Bombyx mori: one gene and its partner. The protein of the gene in region 1 interacts with the protein of each later gene in a biochemical or structural test. Links are inferred from orthologs where the notes say so. Each region holds a gene or a part of one and is shown in the gene's direction. Other genes may lie near its edges. The genes, in order: dynamin-1-like protein and mitochondrial fission 1 protein.

Region 1 (3,836 bases):
AGTATTTTGTTTTTGAAAATATTTTTTTCTGCGGCCCCTTCCAGCTTTTTTAGTAAATTTAATTAGCCCGCAAAGGTATGTAATTTGGACGGCCCTCATCTAAACGATATGTTAAGGTTATATAAATTACTATCTCGAAATTTTTGTAGCTGTTTCTCCGACAAATGGGTGAAAGAGGGTCCGCCCTAGTATTCTTGGCAAGCGTATTGGACGCGTACAAGGTAATTGTGGCGTGGTTATATTCGGGTCGCCATTAACTCGCCTCACTCATTCTCGATTCATTGTCCTACTAAACTTGTGTTGTGACGTTCGATGTCGTGCCATTTGAATACTGTATGGACTCTTTTTCATGATCACAGTGAAGTCGACCTATGAGCGATTGTCAGTAGAAACAATCGGAATATTTGATTAGTCATTTTTTACTTTAAAGTTCAGTCTAGCTCCCCATATTAACAATCTTAATTCATATTTAGGTACATACTATTAATGTAATTTTTCTAACATTTAACATCGGCAAAGATTGTTTTGCTTTCGCATAGGCCTCCCTCCCCCAAACCCTGCCATAAGTCCCGGTCGTGGCATTTCCTCTTCCAAGTAGAGCCTGCACGGCCCCATATGATATAAATATATAATTAAAAGAATAATATATTTTTTTTCTATTACTCCATACCTAATGCAAAGGAATTTTCAGAGTCCAAAGACATCACGAAATGTATAATGGCATAATCTTGAGACATGATTTTTATTTTATGCACAAAAATATAATTCTGTAAATATTAATAAAAATTTTAAGCGACGGTCCCAAACTAATTCTAGACAAGGCTCAAAGGGCATAAAATACTATATCTAGGTTCCAATGAAAAGGATTTTCAAGTGAAGTAATCGTATCTGCCACAATAATTACCTCGTTACAGTGACGCATAATTTTACACCCGATTGATTGTCAGCGATAATGAATTAATCGAAAAACAAATGAAATAATTTCATATTTATCTATTCATTCGCTTTATAGATTGTAGCAATCGTTTGTCTCTCTGTAAATACACATTGAGTTCATTGTTTTCTTTGAGACTTAAACTGTACACGTTACAAATGAGTTCTACAATATTTTCAATTGGTTATAAAACAAAGATTACAAATATTACAGAATGTTCCCGCTATAACCGATGGTCACGAGAAATCTCCACAAAACATCAGCGAAACACCGTCGACCCCACAGGTATGTAAATAACATAAAAATCACATAAATTATCCTACATTATTTGTAGACAATATAGTTAAATTATGTTGAATAGGTCAAGGCTAGTTTGGTAACTGTAATAAACTGTTAAACTTTGGGGTTTTTAAATGTCTAATTCAACTAGTTTGTCAAAGGAAAGTATTTGAATTTTGTATTGGATAAATCGTATAGTATTTTTTTTTTGGTTGTTGTTAAAGATCAACGGAATGCCAGACAACAAGGCACTGACTCCTCAGAAGCCAGTGAACCTTCTGCCCGAAGTACCGATCCAAACATCACGTAAACTGTCAGAACGTGAACAACACGACTGTGACGTCATAGGTGGGTGTAGTGTACAATATTAATATCAGCTGCTCTAGTGTTTTTAAGTAACATTTTTAATTATAAAATCTAATTATAATTTAATGTATAACCACTGAATTTTTTGGTAATTTTACTTTTTATGGGAAATTTGTTCATTGATTTTATAATTTTTAATAACTAAAATAGAATCTAATTTAAATCATTGGTATTGGTACCATAAATTTCGTATTAACAATTTTTTTAAACAAGGTATTTTCATGAGACTAACTATCTAACAGAAACATAGTATCGAATCTGTCATATAATTCCGGTTTGAGTTATAGATATAGCCGTTATATCAAAACTTTAAACTTCAACCTCATATCTCGGTTCAATAACAGGTGGCATACTTGTTGTCTATGGATTTAACCTGCAGATGGGCCGTGGGCTCGTATGCTCTTATGTTTTCTTAATATTCATCCCATAAGATTAGAGATTCAATTTTGTTGTGATGCTAGGTGGACGGAGCGACAACACAACAGTCTTAAACAGTAACGTAAAGACAGTAGACGGCATCAACGTGATGCAACTGAATCAAATGGGTGATTTAGTTGGTGAGGCTAGTCCGTAGATACACCGGCATCTATGCTTTGTTTACTCATAGCTATCTCTAGCCTTCCGACCACCTATCATCTGAGTAGCGGTCGGAGTGACCACAGGTTATACTAATAAACTCAAAAAATATGGCCATAAACAATACTTTATCTATATCGTTTTTTATCTATGCTGTGATGTTCAGCTAAAAGTGACACAAACTAAGATATATATTTATTCTAATTTTCTTGTGTTGTGTAATGGTTTTTGCTTGATGTCATATACTAGTATGGTTTATATATATTTTTATACAGATTGTGATTATCACATTGTTGTTTAAAGGAAAAATAATCATAAATGTATTTTGTGTTTTTAAATTTGGTTTACGTTATAACCAAATATTATACATTTAGAATGTCCAATAATGATCATAAACATTGACCTTAGAGACATCTACATGTTGAAAAGTTGTAGCAAGTGTTAAAATAAATAGATCATTCTATTAAGTTGGTAAATTCTATGGTAAGAATCTGCAGTCACTCCTAACGCCTTAGGCTTCGTTTTGTGTATCACTAAAGTCATATTCATGCACCACTAATCTTTAATTACCAAAATTAAATTAACAGCCAATGCAAAAAGGACTCTTTTCGATTATGTATAATAGTTTAATAATTTAAAGCAATGATTTATAAAACTGAAAAAAAAACATGGCAAAGATCTCGGAGATAAACATCTTCAATGAAAATCCGGGTTTCGGTGCCCTGCGATTTATGAATGCAACGGCGATTGAATTTATAGCCCTTGTTAATATTTGATCTACGTATACCTGACTTTTTTTGCTTATATGGGTTTTTATATCGATTTATCTTTCTAAATAATCTTAGTTTTATTTAATATCGGAGGCATATAATACTAGTTTTGGTAATTAAAAAATAGTGGCGTATAAGTTGAATACTCATCCAGTTTCTGTACTCACCCGCTTAATGTTCAACAGCCTTTTTTGAACTTTAGAACATAATAGTATTTACAATAGCAAATATGATTAAAAACAAGGTGCTAATAATAATATGTACATCAGAAATTTTAATAAACGCAAGAGTAACTATCCTACTATTGTACATGCACCACAACAAACTAGATTGAAGCTTTAGATAAAATTCTCAACTAAACAATGCTTAATTAAAACTACTGTTGCGGTTGGTTAACCACACGTTTATTATTTAGATTTGATTTTTCCCGAAGTTTCAAATATCGCGAATAACGCCTCAGTTCGTGTGACGACAAAAACTATCAAAATATTCAAAATGTCGGAGATAATTAACGCGAGCTCAAACCGAAAAAGTAGTTTAAATTATAATTTGTTTTCTCGAAAACTGGAGGAAAATTTACACAATGCTGTTGGATAATTAAATCCGGAGTTGTTGTCTAGCTAAAAATGTGCTTACAAGTCACCAATAAATCACCTCTTTCATCGGTTGCACTCGATTTACTAACTCGATTATTATAAGACCGCGTTCATACACTGTTTAAAAAGTGGTACTATTTTAAGTACATGTATTCTATGAAGGATTATATTTCTCATTAATCCATTATTACATTTGGTTGCGATGTTGTACAATGCCTAACACAATGTGTAACATAATGCAAAAATATATTATAATATTTCCGACTTTACTGTATATAATAATAATAATAAACAAAAAACTTTTTTTTTCTTTTT
Region 2 (4,435 bases), on another chromosome or scaffold:
ATAAGGAATTGTTTGTCTGCAGGAAGGTAAGGCCTAATCTTAGCTTCCTCTCCCTTTGCCCACTGCCAGGTAGGGCAGTGGTGTACCAGGTGGTCACCAGCAGCTACAAACTCTTCAGGAGTCAGTACACCAGTTTCTTGAAATTTCGATTCCTAGAAATAAGTGAAGTTAATATAAATAAGCCTTTGGTTTGTTTTCAAATTTCTTAGTAACCTAATTGACTTGCAAATGATCCTCAAATCCCCATATTCTGGAATTACCGTTCAAATTGTGAGACACTCACTACAGAATATTACATTTTAAATAAATATGAAGCATAGAAATAAATATTTATTTTTACAGGGTAAAAAGATTATCAATATGTTCGGTCAGTCACCGATTCATATATATAATGAGTAATTTCAATATGTATGTAATTAATAATGATCGTGATAAACGTACCTTCAACACCGGTGTCAAGTAACCGGCCACGCCAAGAGCAGTTCCCTTTACTGTGTTTATTACACTTTGCATTGTGATGTCCCTAATAGGATTATGGGTTGTTAAAAAAACTATGAGCTGTCTTTTACACTATCTACTACGTATACCTAGCAATTGCCGGCCCACAAAAGAACTTATCAATTTGACCAAATTTGACAATTCAATTTGATTTGATTTAATTCTTTGTTCAAGTGTTTTCTCGTTCGGTGGTTACCGTTCTCGAATATATTAAGTGTATAATCTATGGTTACCGTATGTACCATAGATTTTAAACCATGGAGTTAATAAGTATAGTAACTCTATGTTTTAAACTTAATCTCTGTCTGTAATTTTAATTCAGTTTAAGCAGTGACACTTTTGCTGCAGGGATCTCGAACATTGTACCTATGCGTGTGTTGCCTGTGGTATTCGTATCGTTAGGTTTTCGCTCATGTCATGTCATGCGGCCCGTACACACGTTAACTCTCTCCAGGTCATCCAATCTTGTTTCTGCAGGATAGCCGTCAGAGCGTCGTGGTATGTGAGGAATGTAAATCTTCACGACGATCTAAATTTAGTACCGATTCGTAAATATCTTATGGAAGCGTCAGAAGGTCAGAGCGTTATTCAACAAAACGGTGCCACACGCAAGTAGATTATGCGAAGCCTACTCTAGTAGGACTAGTGGTAGCAAATTCTTTCAGGTCGAGTTTGTGAGCTTACCTAGCCGTCGGGAATAGCTTCTTAAGCTACCAACGAATAAATAGAGAAAAAAAATCATTTGCTTGAAAAATTGTAGCGAGATATGACTTTAGTCTTTTCTATAAAGACTTTTAATCCCTTTGGCTTTGTTACTAGGTCTTTTTTATAATACTAAGTAAATGTACTTTCTAACTTTTTCAGTACCTAAATTATTTCGAAATATACTGTGTGGTCGGATGTTTTTGCCTTTCTTAACCTGGAAAAACTTAAGTGCCACTGAATCATCATGAACGATGTCAAACATTCAATGTCAAAATTGTCAAACAATCCATAATTCCATTTATTCTGCATTGCAAATCTACCAATTTCTCGTAATAAACCTTACACGGTACACCTATTTTTCTTTTTGTAAACGTTAAATATCTAATCAAAGTTATCATTTATAGTAACCGGCTACAATGGAAGACGTATTAGACGAGATTGTTTCATCGGAAGATTTGCAAGTAACGATTAAAACTTTGTTGTTGATAGTGACTCACAAATAAATTTACAATTGTTCATAAATCTTTGTTTGTTTTTTTTTTTGTAGAAATTCGAGAGGGTCTTTCATGAACAATTGCATCAAGGGAACGTTTCCCACAAAGCCCAGTTTGAATACGCATGGTGTTTAGTGCGCAGCAAGTATCCAACGGATATACGAAAGGTACATTTATTTACAAATACATAGTATAAAAACTGACGTCAATTTTACAGATCTCATTACAGTGGTATGTCAGAATATTATGCATATCATCAACTTGACTTGTTTTTGCCAAATTTGCTAAACAAAGCCATATTTATATATTTAAACATTAAGATATCTAAATATTTAATACAAATATACTTAATATAGAATACTATAGTCGGATTTTTTATTAGACGAAGTCAACTGACGTTTACTGTGTTGTCAGTTTTTGATGAAATAAAAATAATGTTGTGACAAAGTGAACGATTGAAAAAACTCCTGAATTAATAAAATTGCCTCGATTGTCTAGTGAACAGTTGGTGTGCCGAATTGCCGATATCGGGTACGGGTTTCGAATTTTAGGCGTGCTTTGTACATACCAACGAGTTTTCGACGAAATATTATGTTCCTATAGTATCTACCTGTACTGAATACCGAGTGTTTTAATTAAGAAAAACACTGCGAGGAAGCTTGTAAGACTGTCATATTTCCAATACATCATGTAGTTGAAATTATAGATGTATAAAATATAACAATTATAGGTAGGTAATGAAAATAAAAAAAGCTGATTGTAGTTACATACTATTAGCAACATATATTGGAGCACTTTAATACAATTTTATTGTAAAATATAAATAATACTCTTTTATAGTTTGAAATTAATGATTAACTCTTCACACTCATTGTTCATTTGTGATTGAACGAGAACTGAACGCATCACTATTACTTTAAATATAGCAACATTATTTCACAAAGTGACATTAGCTACTGTCAGCTAGCTTCGTCTAATTAAAAATCCGACTATAGCACTGAATATCACTACATTAGAAGAAACGATTGTTGTTTCTGATATTTTTAAACCATTCATTTCATTTCCTGTTAGTTAAGTGTTTTTATTATTTTGAATGTGTATTCCAATGGACACATGAGATTGATAATTAAAAATAAATGGAACTCATCATGGCTTAAAGGATGAGTCTGCAGTGTACATGTTTCAAGGGATGTTACAATTTTAGTGTTAAAGTCTCATAGGCATGTGCAAGTTTTTTAAGGACTGACTTCCAAGGCAAAGAAATTATATTACATATTTAACTAAAAACCAATTATTATTCCACAACTTGCTTAATAACTACTGGTAACAGGGAATACTGTGTATAATTAATGTTCACACTGGTAGTCAACACTATTTTGTCTATTACTGCCACATAATAGTCATGTTTTCTGGTTTGAAAGGTGAGACAACCCTTACACAAAATAATTGAGACTTATCTTAAAGTCAGGATGGCAAAGTTTACATTATGATATATATTTACCAGTCTGAGCATAGTTGGAATAGCCCCTTGGGCTACCAATGATTAGGGAAAACATTTAAGAAAACAATTACCTCCTTTCGGACTTTTGTTAATAAGATAATGAATTCAAATCATTAATTTTTTTATTGTTTTGTCTTAAGTTTTAATCTTTTAAGCATCAAGTAAAAGCAGAAAAGAATGTATAATTTACTTGACAGCTGGAACTACAAAGCACGCTTAAACATTTCAAGTCTTCAGAAGTTCTAAGATGAGTATACTTTACAGGGAATCTTACTTCTTAAAGAATTGTTCAACTCTCATCCTGAAGGCAAACGTGACTACCTTTTCTACCTTGCCATTGGTAATGCCAGAATAAAGGAGTACAATAAGGCTTTGCATTATGTGAAATCATTCCTCGAGATTGAACCCGCTAATCAGCAAGTATTGGCATTAGAGGTAAGATCAGCTATAATAACATAAGTTCGAATGGCAGAATAGTAGAGTAGATACATGAGAAATCTTACATTTGAAGATAAATAATGACATTAGTCAGTTTGGCAATAAGTCTGAAGATATGAGTATGTATATGTGTTTTTTTTTGGGCTGTCCGCTGAACTTCATATGAGATTGTGGTAGGGCCAAACGAGTCCCCTAGCATATTTCACCCCTCGTTTGATCTCCGCCTGGAGTCAGACCCAGTCAGAATAGGGAGGTACTAGTGATGAACAATACAAGAATGGCCAGGCCACCCTTAGGACGTCTGACCGAAAGGTTGCCGAGGCGACAGCCGACAACTTTACGTCGGCCCCGCTCAGAGCCGCTGATGACACGGAATATCCTGTTAAACCAAAACTGGCCTACTGGGTTGGGAGGGGATACACCAACAACCATAAATACTGTCCCACAGCAGTTCTGTAGAACTATTGTCTTAAAGCAAAATATATCACAATAAATAATATATAATCGTATATAAGCCCTTAATACTGGTTCAAGAAATAGTGAGTAGTGAACCTTTTTTGACAAAGAAAAAAAATTGAAAAAGAAATTTGGTAAAAGTTAATGTAGTAAATTTCTCTCCAGCTACGCATTAAGCCCTCACCTCAAGCTTCTACTATTTAGGTATTTCTAGTTATCCTAAGTGCTCTTCTGGCGGTCCACTCACCACTCATCATTCCATTAACCATAGTTATTAAATGCTACTTGTTCATAACCAATCAGCAATAAAAAAAAACTATTAAATTTTGAAAAAAATATTTTA

What was found.
Region 2: the proteins of dynamin-1-like protein (region 1) and mitochondrial fission 1 protein form a complex in vitro, tested with the Homo sapiens proteins (2 studies listed by BioGRID). The link is inferred for Bombyx mori from reciprocal best matches to the Homo sapiens genes DNM1L and FIS1.

What each region holds. Positions count from the first base shown.
Region 1 is NC_085119.1:10,593,656-10,597,491, reverse strand, and holds part of dynamin-1-like protein, read left to right. Parts: intron 1-149; coding exon 150-221; intron 222-1,147; coding exon 1,148-1,219; intron 1,220-1,437; coding exon 1,438-1,561; intron 1,562-2,040; coding exon 2,041-2,136; intron 2,137-3,836. UniProt on the Homo sapiens protein: Functions in mitochondrial and peroxisomal division.
Region 2 is NC_085110.1:17,564,090-17,568,524, forward strand, and holds the start of mitochondrial fission 1 protein, read left to right. Parts: upstream 1-1,438; 5' UTR 1,439-1,619; coding exon 1,620-1,664; intron 1,665-1,750; coding exon 1,751-1,864; intron 1,865-3,462; coding exon 3,463-3,633; intron 3,634-4,435. UniProt on the Homo sapiens protein: Involved in the fragmentation of the mitochondrial network and its perinuclear clustering. Plays a minor role in the recruitment and association of the fission mediator dynamin-related protein 1 (DNM1L) to the mitochondrial surface and mitochondrial fission.